Linked DNA regions of Caenorhabditis elegans. The protein of the gene in region 1 purifies or fractionates together with the protein of each later gene. This does not show direct contact. Each region holds a gene or a part of one and is shown on either strand. Other genes may lie near its edges. The genes, in order: ppm-2 and pph-4.1.

Region 1 (9,507 bases):
GGACGTTGGGGACGACGACTTCAAATCGATTCAAGCCGCCTGACTCTCCCCCGTGTGTGGTTCTCCTTTTTAGAGCAAGTGCGGAGAGAGAGGGGAGTGAGTGGGGGCGAGCAACTATAGCATTGCTGTGCTCCCGAGCTCCTCGAGAAAAAAACGAGAATCAATAGGTCCTAGATGGATGGACGGACAAAAAAAAAAAACGAAAAGTTTTTTTTCGGCGACACTTGGGAATGGTGACGTTTATTCGGATGATTCCTCGTTTCATTTTTTCAGACAAACATGAGTGTTTTGGTATGGAAATTCTGAAAATCTGGAACATTTCAAAACTTGGTTTGTTTTGTTCAGTTTGGAGAAGGATTCGGCGAATTTTGAATCGAAATTTGAAAATTAGTTGTGGAAATATGTTTTATTTAAAAAACACCGTTCTGGTAAAAATGGTTCTTTGATCTTTGTAACTTAACCAAAATTTGTCGTGTCGAGACTGGCTACTATAGTTTAGAGACAAAGAAAACAACGTTTCGACACTTGGCGATAATTATATGTTGAGCTTTTAATTGAATTAAATGAAGTTTTCATTCCAATCTGCACAAAAATATGCTTACGAGAATAATGTATAGAGTATTTATATAGAGAGAAAAAGCTCAAAACTTGAAAAAACGTCTGCAGATTGTAATGTGTTTTATGTATGCGTCATAGGGTGTTCTGCACGTGTAGAACATGTTTCGTGTTGCTGGAGCAAAATGCAAAGTACCCCTAATTAGTTGCACTTTACAATTCCCTGAAACAATTGGACTGGACGAAGAGTCAAACTCTTTCTTTCTTTCGGAATAGTAATGACGACGCCAACGCAAACTAAATTTGCTCGTGGAATATGGTGTATTGAGTTGGTATGCCAACATTATACAAGTTGACCTAAAAACAATGAACGGCAGTTCAGAGAAATTGTATTATATGGACGCATGTCAAAAAAATTTTTCGTGTCGAGGCCGAGTACCGTATTTCTGGTGCAAAAATCCGTGTAATACAAAAAATAAACAACTTCTCCATAAAACAGAAAAAAAATTTCACGTTAAAAAAAACTAACTTTTAAAACACTAACAAAGGTCAATGTCGTCGATTTGTTATCAGACAATCAATCAATATGCAAATCAATTATTCTCGATTTTCGAAACTTGAAAAGCAACTCGGACCGCCCGTTCTTCTGCTCATCAACTAATAAGATGCCCTGGTGAGTTAAGATTTTTACCAACGCAGTTAATTCCTGATGTGTTCATCAAGAACCTCATAGAATTGACATTATGGAGGCACGCCAACGAAATCAGGCAGAATGTGCCCCTTACGAATTATCGTTTTCGTAATTTAGGCATTGTGCCCTGTCTTCGATGGTTCGGGTTTATTGTGCCCACTGATGCATTCTGTGCTCATTGCAAATGAACTATAAATTCTAAAATTTCAAAATTTCAGTCAAAAGAAGTCAAACCCAACGGAATTGCACATCTCCACTGGCCGCGAGATCGTTCAACGGAACTTTGTGTTCCGCAACACCACTGGCAAGGACTTCCTGCTGAAGTTGCATGCTACGAATGAAGCCGTCACCTTCCCAACGGAAGTTTTCCGTTTTCCACCATTGGCTCATCGTGCCATCCAGTTCCGTGTGAACTCATCAAAGCTCTCCCAATGGGACAAGATGAATCTTTTGATCAAAGGATACGTGTTGCCGATCTATGCGAAGAGCCTCAAGCAGTTCATTGATCAGAAGAAAACTGCAGGAACTAAGGAGCAAGAGGCATTCTCATTGTCTGTCAAGTTCACGGATCAGTTCTCGGCTCCCCAGACAGTCATCAACTTGCCAGGATATGCCACGTGTATCGAGTCGACTGATTATCCGGTTGACGTGGAAGAATTGGACACTACAACTGCAGTCAACATCGAAAGAGGTACAGATTGATGCTTTGGTTCAAACTAATTAAAATCTTTCGATTTCAGATGTCTCCACTGCTGTTCCAATTGGTTCAATGATGGGATTTGTTGAGGAGTACAAACGTCGTCAATTGAACAAAGGATGCTGGTTTTCCAACTACATCTGTGGAACTGAAAAGCAACCGGAGAAGCAGTCAATGAGATCTTCTCGTAGATCAAGCCGTTCGTCGAATCATTCTGCAAAGAGCTCAAAGGCTTGCCGTATTCAGGCTAATAAAAAGAACAAAAGTGATGTCAATGTGTGCCTTGAAGCAACTCCGTGTGGTGGATCAACTATTCAAGCTTAGATTGAACTGTGAATGGCACTTTTGTATGATTTAATGAAATTGACTTGGTCGGGTTTCTTGAATATTTTCAGTAGCTTGCACTAACTATAAGCTGAAACATGTAATGTTAAAGAGACAATTATGCCTCTTCCATTTTTGGAGATCATTACGTCGCCTTTCTTGGAATTTCAAGGAGGAATGAGGCTTCTGATAACTGTCTTGAAAAACTAAATGAAGTCACACGGTGTTTGGTAAGTTCAGTGGTACGGTGAATGTAACTTAACAATTTTCGAAGCGCCTACAGAAAGGTGTGCGCCTTTAAAATAATACTGTAGCTCCCAGATCTTCATTTTTACGAAAATTTCCATACATTGTCTTACAATGTTTTGCAATCACACAAAATAACCTATTTTCAGATCTTCCATGTTTCTTCCAATTGCACCGTCGAAAGTTATTGCCTTTTTTATTTTGTAGGAAAAATTGAATAACATTCAATCATAAATTTTTTTAATCATAATCATAAAATCAATGGGAAGAACAAAAAAATGTGAAAAGAGACAAAAAGAAGAAAATACAATTGTCTAATACACATTGAAGCACTAATATTTCGAGTATTTCAGTATAAAACGAGTCATCTCACACTTTCAATGCTTGGGAAACAAAGACGCGTCATGGAAAGTGGACGGCTGATAAAAAATCATATTAAAAATGGGAGAGTAGGAATAAGACAAAAAATAAAATTTGAAAAAGGGATATGCAAAAGTTGGCGGGATGAACAATAGAGGACAACTTTTCATGTAGTGAAATTCCTGAATTTTTTCCAGATAACTCACTGCAATCAATTCATTACAATTCTAGAGAGATTTTGGCATTTAAATTTTTTTGAAATTATTCGAAAGGTATTTCAACCGGAAAATCTGTGAATGAAGAATGGGGGAAGAACAAAGAAAGTAAAATGCTATAAAAAGCAAGAAAAATTATATTGTTAACGTGCTCTATAAGGAATATTAAATTTTGGGTGGTTTTTGTTTTGTGAAGAAAATTTTTTGTGAAACATGATAATTGAGCAATATAAAAAACCAAAAGCAATGCAAGATAAAAAAGTAAATTCAGCACTATCACAGGGGGAAATCGTGTTATTTAATATTCGATATTTACACACCAAATATTACTCCGAAATTTTGCGAATTTTCTAAACTTGGAAGTTGGCTGGCGCTGGTTCATTGTCATCCTCCTCTTCTTCTTGATTCGCAGCGTTTACCCGTTGTTCTGAAATTTGAATATTTAATTTTTGAGAATTCGCGAAGCTTTTTCAACTAAAACCTCCATCAAAGTTGTTTATCACACGCGAAATATCTTGCTGAATTTGATTTTGATCTCCATCCTCGTTATTCTTCAAAAAGAAACACATCGTTTTGTTCGTCGAATTTCTGATTTACACAGATATTCATTCATTTGGTTAGTATTTAGAAGAAGAAGCACAACTATTCTAAAAAGGTGTTCTTTTTGAGAAACTAGTTTAATTCTATAAATTTATGTGATACTAACTACTGAAAAAATGAAAAAAAGAGGAAGAAGCAGAAATAATTTTCAAAAAAAAACTCACAACACCCGTAAATACCGCTGGGCGGGCACATTTCGTGAAAAGTGTATCTGGGGATTGTCCATGAAGAAGTCCCACGAGAACAACCTGAAAAATAAATATTAAATTTTTTAAATGTGTATATTTCGTTAAAATTCAACATTTTAATTTAAAGTCACATGCCGTTTTTCTTAGTAGGTCTCACCACGATTTCAACTACCATAGTCTAAAGATCTTGCAAATTACTGTAGTTTTTTTTTAAATTTGGCTGATTTGGAATCTTCAAAGATTTTTATTGATTATCTTACAATTTGTTAAAATTTAAGTGTTTCAAATTTTTTTGTTCCAGTTTAGTTTCTCATTAAAAGTTTTAACGAAAACTTATGAAAATTTCGAAGTTTGAATTTACTGTATATTTATATTTCAAAACATAAAATAAAGCTGATAAAGTGTTTAAAAATTTATTTTTGAAAAAATCAAACTTACAGTCATATTATCGCATCCGAGACCACCCATCTGACAATCTGGAGCCAAGCACCGAGTGAGAAGCTCTTCGCAAATCTGAAAATGAGAGAGAATACGAGATATTTACTTTATTTTAATCAACTTACCGATTGTGGATCCCTCTTCTCAGCAAGCTTCTCACGAACAAAATCTACGACTTCCTGATTTGTCATTACATCCCAAATACCATCACATGCAAGAACAATAAACTCGTGATCCGGTGTCAGCTTGTCAGTGATCACATCCGGGAATGCTGAAATTAAAGAACTTTTTTTAATTTTTAATTTCAAATTATTCTCACCAGTGACAATTTGCTCCTCAGCAGGCTTTGTGTCACAATTTTTGAATGCAAAATCTCCGAGAGCACGGGAAAGTGCCAAATTACCATTGACACGATTGAACTCAACCCATCCACCGGCGGCAATGATACGTCGAGCTTCGGTTTCATGAGATGGCTTGTGATCGAATGAAAGTGGACGAGCTTCTCCAACAACTGAGGATACTGCACGAGAGTCACCGGCGTTTCCTGAAAAATGGAGAAAAATTAAAAATTGACATTTAAAAATATTAAATCCTGGTCTTCCCTATACAGTTTAAATAAATATTTAATTTCAACGTTTTTTTCTATGTCACATAAACAAATCTGTGAAGTTTGAAGCTTGTAGGGATTACTGTGGCTGAGATCGTGGTGGGACCCACTCAGAAGTATTAAAAAATCAGCGTACGATTTTTACAACTTTATGATACACAGTTATCACAAATGTGTGCGTAATCAAAAATTAAAATTTTTGAAAAAATATGGAAATGTGTTTTTATTTTCTGTACCAATAATTTTTCTCCTTTTTTAAAGATAACTTTTGTAATACCGTGAAAGTTCAAAATCTAATAAAATTTCGAACAATATGAATTCTAATACTGCAAAATTCGAAGCTTGGAAGTTAATTTTTTATCGATTTTTACTGAAAACTGTTAGTCTTAGTATTGTGATTTTTTTGAAAAATACTCAGTGTCTTTAACATTTCCTCAATTTCCTTCCATTGACGTTTCAAGGTCAAAGTGCAAATCCGTGTCTCTTACCACAATAAACATCTCCCTCCTTTATCAATACAACAACTGCTGTCGTTCCACTAACATCATCCTTTGTCTCTTCATCAACTCTCATCTGTTGATCCAATTCTAGGAATCCTTTTTCGATTGCTTCTTTCATATTTCCCTCGGAAAATTCCTTCTGTGCGACGACTTTTTTGTGAAGATTAATTCCGGAATATTGTGAAACTTTCGATCCACCGTGTCCATCGTAGACAGCAAAGAATGCACATTTTGGATCATCAGGAAGAGAAAGGAGATGTGTATGGGCATCTTCCATGTCTGAAAAAAAAGAACATTTAGAACAATTTATTGAACTAATTATCATTTTTGAAGATAGTGAAGCTAATGGATTTTCAAGTCGCTAAGTACCTAAAAATGATGAAAATGATGAAAATGAGCTAAGGAGTTCTGTCTGAAGAGAAAGGGACTAATATTCGCTGATTTTTTTTTTTAATTTAGACTAAACATTAAAACAAATTAATTTCGCTATGTTATTTCTTGATTACAAACGTTTAAAATGGAAGTAAACGCTTAACAATATCCTAAATTCCTAAATATCCTAATTTATTTTATCACATTTTTGCTCTGATAACTTTCTTACCAACTCTCCATCCCTGCATACAACTGCTACCGACCAAATAATTCTCATTGGCGCATGACGCCGACTCTTTTTTAGTAACTGGCTCACTGAGTGTTTGTCCCATACTTCTGAAAATTGATTTTTATTTTATTTCAGTCTAAGTGCACTAAACAGTACTTTCAGCGGGAAAATTATGATGTTTGAACGATAGAAAAATGGGAAAGAGATGAAAAGACGAAAAAAATGCGAAAATATTTGAACGAAAAATGATCGAAGGGGGCGTAAGGTTATCACAATTTCAATGCTACCTGTTCTTCAATAAGGAAAGACTGATAGAACGTGTGTCACGTGATCAAAAGATAAAATGGAAAGCGTTTCCGAGAGACAGAAGAAAATTATGGAATTTTTCGATAGTCTATTTTCCAACAAAAAAGAAGTTACTGATAAATTTTTTGAATTGTTCGAAAAATTGTATTATCACAAATTTAACGGAGCAAAGTTCAAAATCGATGATGAAATTTGCATAATTTTGAATAAAAATTGAAAAAGAATAGTAGTACTGTACTAAAGGCGCAACGTGGTTAGCGAGTGGGTCTCACGACGAAAGATCTACAAGGAGTTTATTTAAAGTATCAGGCCTGGTTTTCTAAATCACTTGCTCATATTTTCTTTTGGGAAGTTTATTTCCGAAGAAAAATTGCGAAACAACTACATGATGTTCCCAAATTTAAATTTCGATAATTTCAAAAATGATTCCCAATTTTCAAAAATGTTGTATCCAAAATGCCCGCCGCCGCCGCCGCCGCGACTATTAACCCTCACAGCAAATAAAGAAAAGTTGAAAAAATAAAACGGCAAGACAAGCACAGTGATTTTATTGTATTCTAACCGATAAAAGTTTTCGTCTCAAGACCACGTGCTAGCAGGAAAAAAACGGCGGTCGGCCGGGAAATAAAAATGTGACACCAAGTTTCGGTTCTTCTTCGTTGCGTCGTTGGACGTCCCCGCGTCGCATCGAAACAAACATTGATACCGAGACACAAAAAGTGACGAGAGAAAAGACCGACAAACGGACACTAGGCTGCCAGGCGAAAATCAATAGGTAGTGAGAGTGTGTGAAGGTGAGAGGCACAGACATTCCGTTTCTTCTGTGACCACGGAAAATCACATGGCGCTGTGCGGGGAAACCCCCTCATGTGCGGGAACAACCCGATGCAGTTGCGCTCTAATCGACGTATGAAAAATCAAGGCAGTTTATCACGTTGACCAGGTTATCATTGGGGGAGAGTGATCAGAAGACTACAAAGGTATCGTTGTTGTTAAAATTGTTGAAATTCAAAATTTTAAAATAGCAACAACAAGTATTTTCAATAATATATGCTAGTTCCAGTGTACTTGTCAATAAAAATCTAGAAATGACGTGATTGTTTTATGTTGCTTTATGGAATTTATCATGTAAAATGTTCAACAATTTAGAAATAAATGTACTTAAGGAACAAAGCGATATATGAAACATTGAGATAGGAACGATGTATCTGAGACACAAAACCTATAAAGACCAATTTTCAAACTATCGCACAGATTGTGTAATAAATGTCACTGCAATCTGTGTGATGATGGTTTCTTACATTCAAATTATTATCAAGAATAGTGGTTTGGAAATTACGGTTGCCAAACATGCTACTAATGACGCACATCAGGTTTCTGGATGAAAGAAAATTTGAAAACTGAGCAAGCTTAGTTTAAAGGTGGAATACGGTCAATTGGGACTTCATGATAAACCTCCCAAATGAGATGACAGAGCAAAATATTATCAGAGGTTAGAAAAATCTCCAATTTTGGTCAATTCACAGTTATCATTAATATTTACCCTCGCCCATTTTTTTGGTGCCGCACTTGAAGTTTCTCCATTTTGGCTCAAATTTTCAAGTGAAAATTATTTTTGTTGAATTTAAGACATGAAATAAATGTTTACACAGAAATGATACCTTTTTTTTTGAAAATTGGAGACTAGACGAAATTTTGAAAAATGTAATTTGTTGGGTATCTACGTGTACCTAACCCTCAACGTGGATATGAAGATCGTGTAACGTGAACTCATTATCTATGTATACTAACTTTCTATTCATTCCTTAGTTATGTAATAATAAACTACTCGTCTTCGCCTCCTTGTTCGGCCTCGAATATATAACATTATTCAAACGAGAACATCTATCACAATTGAAAATGTGCCAAAATTAGCAATTTCCATCAAACTAGATACAGTTGTTTTGTTTTTATTTTGTAGTATTTTGGCATTTTGCACTAGCGTTATTCCTCCTTTAAACTTCAATTATAAAATCACATATCTAAATTTTCAAAAAAAATATTTTAGCAATTTGCAAATAGAGACACAAGCAATATAAATAACCATCAAAGCGTGGATCATGTTTTGAAATAACTGTAAAAAATGACAATTTTAGAAAACATTTACAACATCATTCTTTAACAAAGTTCCAGAAATGCAACAGAAAGGATGTCTCATTGTGAGAGTTGATGTTATCAGTCCTCACATGAACATAATTGACGTCTCATTTCCGGTTATGACGAGCAATTTCGTAACTCTCGATTTCCAAAACTTTCGATTTTTCCCAAATATTTAGTGATTCATATAACAATAACCATTCTTATTTTCATAATTCTTTGTTTGTGTCCCGCTTCTTTTTATTATTCTTTAGCAGTTATTTGTTCAGGATTTCTCATGTCTTTCGTATAAATTATATTCTTCACAGTTTTGGATTCTAAAATGAAAGTGTCTGGTAATACTTTAGTTCTTTCGATTTATTCTCGTTTTATTCTTTTGATCACGTTAAGCTATGCTGTAAGTTTTCTTTTTTAAAGATATTCTGTATGAAGCGGGATAGAATTGTTTTGAATTTTTTAAAATATTTTTGAATTTTTTCTCATTTATCAACGCGACTCCTATAAAAGTTCACTAAATTAAAAAAGTCTTATTTGTTCAGTGTCCTCCAAGTCTTGATAGTTTGAATCTTCCACCACCAGTAATTCATAGAGAATGCCTAACAAGAAACAGCTGCCAAAATGGATATATCTGCCGATTGAATAGATGTGTTGGTGGAAGAGCATTGGCAAGTAAAACTAAATATGTGAATGAAGAGGTAGGTTCTTTTCTAGTTTTATTGAAACTATGAGAAAATTCTGTTTTGAAATATGTATTTAAAATATTTTTCGGAATTTACGGAGTTTTGTTGTTTCTCTATTGTTTAACTTTGGCAATAATCTGCTTTTGAATAATTTCAAAAAATCCAACTTCTTCAAGATTTTTTCTTCAAAAATATTCAAAAAAAAATCTCATGAAAATTAAATAATCCCACTTCAAAATTCAGGAATCCGAGTACTCGTTAAAAATGGAACAATGTTGTGTGGATAATTTACTTCCGGAGAGATGCATGGGATTCTGCTCATTTGAGACTTATAATGAATCTTCCATCTTTCGACTGCTCGCG
Region 2 (11,628 bases), 7.7 Mb from region 1:
CCAGATGTATTCAGCTGCTGAGAAATTGATAGAAACAGCGAAGGGATCGAGCAAAACACGCGCGAAGCAAAGTGCAAAGACGAAGATGTTAGAATATCAAAACAGATGCGGAGAAGTGGAAATCGAAAAGCTCCAAGCAATTTCGGAAACATTGGAGCAGATCGCAATGCATATAGATCAATTCGTATTGGAAAATGGTATCCCTGATGATATTTTCCACGACGGTCTTCGGGCAGATATGTTCGAACCACCATAAATGATAGAGTTGTAAAAATCCCATTTTTCGCTGTATATTTGTATATTTTTGCTCAATCTCGTAGTGTGCCCAGTAATTTAAATATTTTTCTTTTCCCGGTACCATACAATTTTCTAAAAACTTTATATTTTATATTTCTTGTAATATGTCCGTACTTTGAATAATGAACCGTATTTATTGATATTTTCAGATAAAGTCAATTGCTGCTTCAAATTGAGATCAAACACAAATTTTCTTCGATTTCGGGGCCTCATCATCCGATTCCTTGCTATTTTCAGACTTGACCACCAGTTTCTTCGCCTCTTCCATAACTTCCGCGTAATTGGAGGGGGTCATCTGAAAAAATTAGAGTATGTAATGTCTCTACTAATTATTTTTTGCGTATCTGTGGCGTGGTTTTGTACTACACTCGGACAAGTTTGAGCATATTTTTGGCCAAAAAATTCGAACTTGTCCTCGTGTAGTACAAAATTCCGTGCCACAGGATTGCATAATAACGCACTTCAGTCTCCAAAATATGAAAAACTGCATCAATTGCACAATGACTGGACCACTCGTGTATCTGTGTGCCGGCCCACAGCTCGGCGACGTTCCCCTCACGATATTCACGAACTTTGTATGATGGAGAGTTCAAAGCCTGGAAAATTAAATTTTATTATTATTAGAATTGTTACCGTATTTCCTCTATTAGTCTTGCAGCCTCTATTAGTCTTGCACCCCTATTAGTCTTGCACCCCTACGGACCAATCGAAAATTAGTCTTGCAGCCTCTATTAGTATTGCATGCAAGACTAATAGAGGAAATACGGTAATAGTCTTGCACCCCTATTCTTGCCAGACCAGCAGTATTTTGTCAAAACTTCAACAATTTTGCCAGTTTTTAGCTAAATTAAATTTTAAAGTGTTCAAATAATAGATAAAATAATATAAATATATATATATATTGTACGATTTTGACTGTTTCATGTCTAATTTTTGACGATGAATGGTAAATTTTACAAAGCTATTGGATCTTCGAAAATTAGTCTTGCAGCCTCTAATAGTCTTGCACCCCTACGGGTCAATTGAAAATTAGTCTTGCATGCAAGACTAATAGAGGAAATACGGTATATTATTGAAACGTGAAAACGCGCTCCACGGATAATAAGAAACGCTCCACCCACGAACCATGGGTCTCGTTAGGTTTTTGGTCGAAAAACCGGTCTGAATTCCCGATTTTTCCGCCAAATTCTTAACGAGACTTCAATTGCCCGTGGAGCGCGTTTTCTGCGTCCTTATAACTACCCCGTGAGCCAAGAAATTGACGACAAACAATGGACGTGCCCGTTGTGCACAACTTTTCGGAAATTCGAACCATGGAGAATCAGTGAGACAGATTTTCGAAATACGATCGTCTCCGCCAAACTTTTTGAGCTGAAATTTAATGAAATTATATGATTTTGGCGGGTCTCGACGCGACAAATTTTTGTTAAATAGAAAAATGTGTGCGCCTTTAAAGAGTACTGTAATTTAATTTTTCACACGATTTTTTTTCGAATAAAAATGCATTTTTAACTATTTTCCGCTGTTTTTAAATTTGAAAACAGATTTCAGGACTTTTTTCGGCAAAAAAAAAGCGAAAAAACGGGGTTTTTAAGGCAAAATTCCATGTTTTCCTCAATTTTGGGTCTCGAAGCGACAAATTTTTGTTGAATACAAAAAAGTGTGCGCCTTTAAAGAGTACTGTAGTTTTAAATTTTAGTTTCTGTGAAATTTATCGATTTTTCGTAGTTTTTCTAAATAAAAATATTTTTTAATCGAAAAAATTTAAAAAAAATCGCGAAAACTAAATTAAAAAAATTTTTTTCGATTTTTTTTCAAAAGATTAAAAAATATTTTTATTTAGAAAAACTACGAAAACTCGATAAATTTCACAGAAACAAAAATTAGAAATTACAGTAATCTTTAAAGGCGCATACCTTTTTTTCTTATTCCTTGAACACAATTTTGTCGTGGCGAGACCTGAAACAGGGGTTTTTGCCTTAAAAAATCGCGAAAATGTCGATTTTTCGCCAAAAAAAGCTGAAAATAGTTTAAAATCCCATTTTTATTCAAAAAATTCAGAAAAACAGGGATTTTCGCCTTAAAAATCCGGAAATATGTCGTTTTTTCGCTTTTTTTGCCAAAAAAAAAGCTGAAAATATATTAAAATTGCATTTTCCTTTAAAAAAATCAGAAAAACAGGGATTTTTGCCTTAAAAAATCGGAGAAAAGTCGTTTTTTCGCTCTTTTTTAGCCAAAAAAAAGCTGAAAACAGTTTAAATCCCATTTTTATTCAAAAATTCAAAAAAACAGGGTTTTTTTGCCTTAAAAAATCAAAAAAAAAGTCGATTTTTTCACTCTTTTTTGCCAAAAAAAAAGTGCTGAAAACAGTTTAAAATCGCATTTTTATCCAAAAACTCAGAAAAACAGGGTTTTATGGCTTAAAAATTCGGAAAAAGTCAATTTTTTCGTTCATTTTTAGCCAAAAAAAAGCTGAAAACAGTTTAAAATCGCATTTTTATTCAAAAATTCAGAAAAACAGGGATTTTCGCCTTAAAAATCCGGAAATATGTCGTTTTTTCGCTCTTTTTTGCCAAAAAAAAAGCTGAAAATAGATTAAAATTGCATTTTCCTTTAAAAAATTCAGAAAAACAGGGATTTTCGCCTTGAAAAATCGGAAAAACATCGATTTTTTCGCTTTTTTTTGCCAAAAAAGTGCTGAAAATCCCACCACACTGGCTGTGTCGTAACCACCACGACTGTGAGCCACCACGTAGATGCTCTTAGCATTCGATGGCTCAATACACGCTATCCAGACAGTTTCAGCGTGCTCGACAGGTGTGCGGGAGTACTGAAAATCGATTTTTCAGCGAATTTTTCGAAATTTCCCGGGTTTTTTCACACCTTCAAATCCTGATCTTTACTTTCATTCAAATTAGTGTTCATCACCACAACACCCCATCCATTTTCAATAGCTCTTTCGATATACGGAATCTGAGTTCCACACTCCAAATTATCATTGATAATGAGTCTACGAGCCCATTGTCCGGCTCTGACGACACCGCTTCCGTGGATCAATACTAGAAGATTTGCAGCTTTTTTGAAATTTTTCGACACAAAAATGAAGCTTAGATCCTCATCCTCGTCGGTTTTTCCTGGAAGTTTTAGCTGAAAAAAAATTTTTTTTTTTGATTTTTAAATTTTTTTTTCCATTTTTTAAAAATTTCTTAATTTACCGCCTTTCTCTTCAGCCCACAACGTGTCTCCAGAAGCTCATAAACTTCCAGATCAACTGCTTCTCCCAGTTCTTCATAATCCTCCTGTGTAGTGAATTTGAAGGGTTTTTTGTCCTTCTCCGTTTTCAGCACGCCTTTTTCGTCGAAAAAGTACCCGAGTTTCGCCAAACTTGACATTGTTCACTGAAATTTATTTGAATTATTCGCAAAAAAACTGGTTAGAACAGAGAAAATTTCCGAAAAAACAATTTTTAAAATTAAAAAAAAAAAAAAATTTCCTGGCCGCGACCGAGGTTTCTCTCGTCCACACGGCGCAATCGCGCTCTGTTGGCAATCTGGCACAATGCCAATATTACACTGAATTTATATTTTTGCACGAAAAACTCTGGATTTAAAGTCGATTTCGCCTGTTTTCATTGGTTTTTTTCGTTTTTTCGTTTTTAAATTAAATATTAATTCAAAAAATCGATTTACAACGTATTTTACAGCTTTTAATGGCTCTGGCGTGCACCGACTCTGCAAATTCCACATTTTCACGTGTCGACTCACCGACTTCCGGCCCATCGGACCAGCTAACAACTCATGACTTGGATCGGTAGCAGTTTTGATATAAAAACAATAAAATATCAACAAAAAAAAAATATTTTCAGCCACATAGAAAAGCTGATGAGATGTGAGCTCATCGCGGAGCAAGATGTCAAAACACTTTGCGCAAAAGCTCGTGAAATCCTAGCGGAAGAGGGCAACGTCCAGGTTATCGATTCTCCGGTGACGGTTGGTTGGATAAAATCGATTTTTAAATCAAAATTTCCATTTTAAATTCTATTTCCAGATCTGCGGAGACATCCACGGCCAGTTCTACGATTTAATGGAGCTCTTCAAAGTCGGCGGACCAGTGCCGAACACCAACTATTTGTTCCTCGGAGATTTCGTGGATCGAGGCTTCTATTCTGTGGAGGTGCCCCCGCTTTTTTGCAATTTTCCTGGCGAAAAAATTGCAAAAAAAACTCCCAAAAAATCGATATTTTTCCAGACATTCCTTCTACTTCTCGCACTGAAAGCTCGCTATCCGGATCGAATGATGTTGATCCGTGGAAATCACGAAAGTCGCCAGATTACTCAAGTCTACGGGTTCTATGATGAATGCCTTCGGAAATATGGAAATGCGTCTGTTTGGAAACATTGTACCGAAGTTTTCGACTACTTATCACTTGCCGCTGTAATTGATGGGAAGGTTTTCTGTGTTCATGGTGGATTATCCCCGTCGATTAGTACTATGGATCAGATTCGTGTTATTGATCGGAAGCAGGAGGTAAAACGCAAAAAATATGCTGTTTTTAATGGAATTTTGCTTTGAATTTCGGTTAAAATTCGGTGAATTACAATTTTTTAAATTTCCGGCATTTTGCCGAATTTGCCGGAAAGTTTTAAAATTTTCGAAAATGAAAATAACCGACAAATCTGCAAATTGCCGGAATTTAAAAATTTCCGGCAAATCAGCAAACCGGCAAATTTGCCCAAAATGAAAATAACCGGCAAATCGACAAATTGCCGGAATTAAAAATTTCTGGCAAATCGACAAACTGCCGTAATGAAACTTTCTGGCAAATCGACAAATTGCCGAAAATGAAAATAACCGGCAAATCGACAAATTGCCGGAATTAAAATTTTCTGGCAAATCGGCAAATGTTCGAATTAAAAAATTTGTGGCAAATTGGCGAAATTGAAAATTTCCGGCAAATCGAAAAATTGCCGGAATTAAAAAATTCCGGCAAATCGGCAAATTGCCGTAATTAAAAATTTCTGGCAAATCGGAAAATTGCCATGTTTAAAAATTTTCGGCAAATCGGAAAATTGCCGAAATTGAAAATTTCCGGCAATTCGTCAAATTGCCGGAATTTAAAAATTTCCGGCAAGTCGGAAATTTGCCGAATTCGCCGGAAAAACGGCAAATTGCCGGAATTAAAAATTTCCGGCAAATCGGCAAATTGCTGGAATTGATAATTTCCGGCAAATCGGCAAATTGCTGGAATTGATAATTTCCGGCAAATCGGCAAATTGCCGGAATTTAAAAATTTCCGGCAAGTCGGAAATTTGCCGAATTCGCCGGAAAAACGGCAAATTGCCGGAATTAAAAATTTCCGGCAAATCGACAAACTGCCGAAAATGAAAATTTCTGGCAAATCGGCAAATTGCTGGAATTGATAATTTCCGGCAAATTTCCGGAATTAAGATTTTCTGGCAAATCGGCAATTTGTCGATCATGAAAATAACCGTCAAATCGACAAATTTCCGGAATTAAAATTTTCTGGCAAATCGGCAAATTGCCGAAAATGAAAATAACCAGAAAATCGGCAAATTTCCGAAAATTTCCGTTTAAAAAAAAATTTCCGTTTTTTTCATTAAAAATTTTTTTTTTTAATTTTCAGACTTTTTTCTAATTTTTTCTCATCAAAATCGACCAATTTAATTTTTATTTCATTTATTTCGATTTTTTCCCCGAAAAATACTAAAAAATTCAAAAAATAGTCTCAAAATCAGAAAAAAACCACAAAAACGCGATTTTTGTCTTCAACCAATCAGCGATTCGCTCCGCCCACTTTTCAACCAATCAGATGGAGTGGGCGGAGTTTGAGTTCTCATTTTGGAGGGAATTCAAAATTGAAAAATCTTTTTATTTTTCTGAATTTGATACTATTTCGGATATTTTGAAGCGAAATTTCAAAATTTACGTTAAATTTTTCGAGAAATCACTTTTTTCCAGCGGGGCGAAGGTTTTGCAAGTCTGCGGTTTGCTATATTTCGATTTACGGAGAATTTTGTAATACACACGGACAAGCGTCGATTAATTTTTTAATTTTTTCTAATAGTAAATTTACAGTTTTGGGCCATTTTTGCCAATTTTTTTTGGTGTTCAACATTAAAAATTGGGTCCATATATATATATTTTTTGAATAGTGTTTACAAAAAAAATTACAGAACTGAAGAACAATTCGAAAAAAAAAAAAAAACGCTTATCCACGTGTAGCACAAACTCCACCGTAAATCGACAGAAATCAAACCGCGCCGCAGGTTTGCAAAACCACCGTTCCGCCTCAAAAATTGAAAAAAAAATCAATTTTTTAATCAAATTTTGTTCGTTTTGATAGAAAAACGTATAAATTTGTGCTAAAAAAGCGAAAAAAAATTCTGAAAATTTCCAGGTTCCCCACGACGGTCCAATGTGTGATCTACTGTGGTCGGACCCCGAAGAAGGAAATGTTGGATGGGGCCTAAGTCCACGCGGAGCCGGTTATCTATTCGGAGCGGACGCGTCGAAAACGTTTTGCGAAACGAACGGAGTCGATTTGATCTGTAGAGCTCATCAATTGGTTATGGAAGGATATAAATGGCATTTCAACGAGAAAGTGCTCACTGTTTGGTCGGCGCCCAACTATTGTTATCGGTACGGGATGGATTTGGAAAAAAAACGGAAATTTTTTTTTCGTGAAAAAGACGAAAAATTAAAATTTTTGGTCACTTTTTTATCATTTAAAGTATAATTTTTAGGAAAAAATACAATTTTTTTCTGAAAATTTGAATTTTCCCGCTAAAATTTGTTTCCAAAAAATTTAAATTTTCCCGCCAAAATTTGATTCCAAAAAAATTCAAATTTTCCGGCCAAAATTTGTTTCCAAAAAATTTGAATTTTCCCGCCAAAATTTGTTTCCAAAAAATTTGAATTTTCCCGCCAAAATTTGTTTCCAAAAAATTTGAATTTTCCGGCCAAAATTTGTTTCCAAAAAATTTGAATTTTCCCGTCAAAATATGTTTTTAAAAGAAAATTTAAATTTTCCCGCCAAAATTTGTTTCCAGAAAATTTGAATTTTCCCGCCAAAATTTGTTTCCAAAAAATTTAAATTTTCCCGCCAAAATTTGTTTCCAAAAAATTTGAATTTTCCCGCCAAAATTTGTTTCCAAAAAATTTGAATTTTCCGGCCAAAATTTGTTTCCAAAAAATTTGAATTTTCCCGTCAAAATATGTTTTTAAAAGAAAATTTAAATTTTCCCGCCAAAATTTGTTTCCAGAAAATTTGAATTTTCCCGCCAAAATTTGTTTCCAGAAAATTTAAATTTTCCCGCCAAAATTTGTTTCCAGAAAATTTGAATTTTCCCGCCAAAATTTGATTCCAGAAAATTTGAATTTTCCCGCCAAAATTTGTTTCCAAAAAATTTGAATTTTCCCGCCAAAATTTGTTTCCAAAAAATTTGAATTTTCCCGCCAAAATTTGTTTCCAAAAAATTTGAATTTTCCCGCCAAAATTTGTTTCCAAAAAATTTGAATTTTCCCGCCAAAATTTGTTTCCAAAAAAATTTACACTTCCCGCCAAAATTTGTTTCCAAAAAATTTGAATTTTCCCGTCAAAATATGTTTTTAAAAGAAAATTTAAATTTTCCCGCCAAAATTTGTTTCCAGAAAATTTGAATTTTCCCGCCAAAATTTGTTTCCAAAAAATTTGAATTTTCCCGCCAAAATTTGTTTCCAAAAAATTTGAATTTTCCCGTCAAAATATGTTTTTAAAAGAAAATTTAAATTTTCCCGCCAAAATTTGTTTCCAAAAAATTCAAATTTTCCCGCCAAAATTTGTTTCCAAAAAATTTGAATTTTCCGGCCAAAATTTGTTTCCAAAAAATTTGAATTTTCCCGTCAAAATATGTTTTTAAAAGAAAATTTAAATTTTCCCGCCAAAATTTGTTTCCAGAAAATTTGAATTTTCCCGCCAAAATTTGTTTCCAAAAAATTTGAATTTTCCCGTCAAAATATGTTTTTAAAAGAAAATTTAAATTTTCCCGCCAAAATTTGTTTCCAAAAAATTTAAATTTTCCCGCCAAAATTTGTTTCCAGAAAATTTGAATTTTCCCGCCAAAATTTGTTTCCAAAAAATTTGAATTTTCCCGCCAAAATTTGTTTCCAAAAAATTTGAATTTTCCCGTCAAAATATGTTTTTAAAAGAAAATTTAAATTTTCCCGCCAAAATTTGTTTCCAGAAAATTTGAATTTTCCCGCCAAAATTTGATTCCAGAAAATTTGAATTTTCCCGCCAAAATTTGTTTCCAGAAAATTTGAATTTTCCCGCCAAAATTTGTTTCCAAAAAATTTGAATTTTCCCGCCAAAATTTGTTTCCAAAAAATTTGAATTTTCCCGTCAAAATATGTTTTTAAAAGAAAATTTAAATTTTCCCGCCAAAATTTGTTTCCAAAAAATTCAAATTTTCCGGCCAAAATTTGTTTCCAAAAAATTTGAATTTTCCCGCCAAAATTTGTTTCCAAAAAATTTGAATTTTCCGGCCAAAATTTGTTTCCAAAAAATTTGAATTTTCCCGTCAAAATATGTTTTTAAAAGAAAATTTAAATTTTCCCGCCAAAATTTGTTTCCAGAAAATTTGAATTTTCCCGCCAAAATTTGATTCCAGAAAATTTGAATTTTCCCGCCAAAATTTGTTTCCAAAAAATTTGAATTTTCCCGCCAAAATTTGTTTCCAAAAAATTTGAATTTTCCCGCCAAAATTTGTTTCCAAAAAATTTGAATTTTCCCGCCAAAATTTGTTTCCAAAAAAATTTAAACTTCCCGCCAAAATTTGTTTCCAAAAAATTTGAATTTTCCCGTCAAAATATGTTTTTAAAAGAAAATTTAAATTTTCCCGCCAAAATTTGTTTCCAGAAAATTTGAATTTTCCCGCCAAAATTTGATTCCAGAAAATTTGAATTTTCCCGCCAAAATTTGTTTCCAAAAAATTTGAATTTTCCCGCCAAACTTTGTTCCCAAAAAATTTGAATTTTCCCGCCAAAATTTGTTTCCAAAAAATTTAAATTTTCCCGCCAAAATTTGTTTCCAGAAAATTTAAAATTTTCCCGCCAAAATCACGTAGTGCCAGAGTGTCCCATTTCGGTTTGATCTACAAAAATGCGGGAGAAGTGACGCACTGATTTTGCATGATTAAGAACGTGTTGACGTCACATTTTTTGGACAAAAAAATCCCGCATTTTTTGTAGATCAAACCCAAAAATTTGTTTCAAAAGAAAAATTGAATTTCCCGGAAAACTTGAGCTTTTTTTGCAGTAAAAAAAAACTTAATGAAAATTTTCCAGATGCGGCAACGTGGCGGCAATTCTCGAGCTCGACGAGAATCTCAACAAGGAATTCACAATTTTCGAAGCTGCTCCACAAGAAAATCGCGGAGCACCGGCCAAAAAACCGCACGCCGACTATTTCCTCTAATTTTTTCTCGAAATTTTCTCGAAATTTCTTTCTCGCCCAAAAATTCCGAAGAATCTCCCCCTTTTATATCGCCGAAACACCATTTTTTTCCTTTTTTTTTTGCTCCCACAAAAATATTTCAATATTTAATTATTATTTTCCACACACACACACACATTTTTCTGTAAATGTCCACCCCCCTCCAAATTTTACGGATTTATTTTTTTTTCGACAAAAAAAAGTATTAAAATTTATTTCATGCTATTCATTTTTAAAACCGATTTGATTTGAAACAAAAAAAAACAATTAACCGTATTTGGGGAGTGAGAAATGGGAAAAAAATAAAACATGAAAATGGAATTTTTCACAGAAAAAATCGAAGTAAAATACAATTGATTGGATAAAATGGGAAAGCTGCGACCAATCAGGTGGAGTGGGCGGAGTGGGCGGAGTTCAAAGTCGCTGATTGGTCGGTGAGAAATTGAGAAAAAAATGGATTTTTGAAGCTTTAAATATAACATTTTGGATAAAAATAACTAGTTTTCAAAGATTTTTTAATTTTTTAATATTTTTTTCGCTCAAAAAATCCTTCAGCTTGGCTCAAATTGCTGGAAATTCTCATCAAAAGCCTGCTGCTCGGCAAGCTTGGCACCATCCATGTATCGGTTCAGTTCTCTTGTGATTTGATTGAGTACCACTTTAATCGCATTCGCCTCCCTCAGCTCAACCTCCTCCTTTTTGAGATTCAACTGATGGTCGGCGATCTCGAAAGCCGTCTTCGCACGGGATTTTTTCGAAGCAAACGTATTTTGAGGTAGTCCTGCGATTTTTTTGACACTCGTGTATTGTCCGTAGTCCTGTTCGGTTTTGTTGAAGGCCTGAAAATGTTGAGAATTGGGGAAAAAATTTGATTTTTCACAAAAAAAAAATTTTTTTAAAGTTTTTTTGCCAGTTTTTCTTATGTTTTTTATCACGGATTTCTGGTTTCCCTCCATAAATTGAAATGGAAGAGTTTTTGCCGAATTAGGCCAGGCCATATCTGGGGTAGATTTACGGCGCGCGTTGCGTGTCGCGTCGCGGCTCGATTGTAAAACTAAATGTATTTGTCCGTGTGGAGTACACGTTGTCCGGCGGGGGTGATTGTCAATGGAGCGCGAAAAAATCAATGAGGAAGGCCAGAAGCCCGTGAAAAAGAAAAAATTTAAAAAAAAACTATATTTGATAGTGTTTTTGGATTTTTTGTTTAGTTTAAATTTTTACTTTTTTTTTGTTGCTATTTTGCCAGTTTTTCTTATGTTTTTTATTATCAAAAATCGATAAAAATTGGATTGTTTTGTTTTTTTTACATTTTTTTCGATTTTTCAAAAAAAAAAAGCCTTAAAATTTTGGCAATTTTTCATATTTTTAGAAAAAAAAACTGATTTTTTTGTAAATTTTCAAACCATTGTTTTCCGATTTCATCTATCCCCACACGGGCCCTTTCTGGCCTTCCTCATTGGATTTTTTTTCGCGCTCCATTGATAATCGCCTGCCGGACTCCACACGGACAAATACATTTAGTTTTACAATCGAGCCACGACGCGACACGCAACGCGCCGTAAATCTACCCCAGATATGGCCTGGCCTAGTTCGGCAAAAAACTCTTTCATTTCAATTCATGAGGAAAGCCAGAAATCAGAAATCGTGAAAAATGAAAAATAAAAAATAAAGTATTTTTTAATTTTTTATTTTTTCAAAAATTGATAAAAATTGGATTTTTTAAGAAATTTTTTTTTCGATTTTTTTAGAAAAAAATTTATTTTTTTGTTCATTTTTTTCCAATTTTTTCCAATTTTATCAATTTCACAACCGCTCCGCGCGCCCGCGCGGTCATGGCC

Evidence for each region.
Region 2: the proteins of ppm-2 (region 1) and pph-4.1 fractionate together in Caenorhabditis elegans (co-fractionation; one large-scale study listed by BioGRID). This does not show direct contact.

What each region holds. Positions count from the first base shown.
Region 1 is NC_003281.10:4,647,116-4,656,622, reverse strand, and holds ppm-2 (putative protein phosphatase 2C T23F11.1), read right to left. Parts: upstream 6,130-9,507; 5' UTR 6,126-6,129; coding exon 6,023-6,125; intron 5,701-6,022; coding exon 5,410-5,700; intron 4,859-5,409; coding exon 4,634-4,858; intron 4,586-4,633; coding exon 4,440-4,585; intron 4,390-4,439; coding exon 4,315-4,389; intron 3,937-4,314; coding exon 3,853-3,936; intron 3,640-3,852; coding exon 3,570-3,639; intron 3,516-3,569; coding exon 3,439-3,515; 3' UTR 2,737-3,438; downstream 1-2,736. Other genes in the region: T23F11.2 (Major sperm protein), read left to right, coding at 1,221-1,228, 1,465-1,937, 1,987-2,267; dbd-10 (DB domain-containing protein), read left to right, coding at 8,787-8,861, 9,004-9,159, 9,388-9,507.
Region 2 is NC_003281.10:12,343,709-12,355,336, reverse strand, and holds pph-4.1 (Serine/threonine-protein phosphatase 4 catalytic subunit 1), read left to right. Parts: upstream 1-4,000; 5' UTR 4,001-4,006; coding exon 4,007-4,107; intron 4,108-4,162; coding exon 4,163-4,286; intron 4,287-4,344; coding exon 4,345-4,470; intron 4,471-4,545; coding exon 4,546-4,824; intron 4,825-6,715; coding exon 6,716-6,957; intron 6,958-9,642; coding exon 9,643-9,772; 3' UTR 9,773-10,014; downstream 10,015-11,628. Other genes in the region: Y75B8A.32 (BZIP domain-containing protein), read left to right, coding at 5-256; FAM172 family protein homolog Y75B8A.31, read right to left, coding at 476-592, 759-893, 1,540-1,668, 3,008-3,127, 3,181-3,444, 3,513-3,689; zip-1 (BZIP domain-containing protein), read right to left, coding at 10,342-10,629. UniProt on the Caenorhabditis elegans protein: Protein phosphatase which plays an essential role in meiosis and in early embryonic mitosis.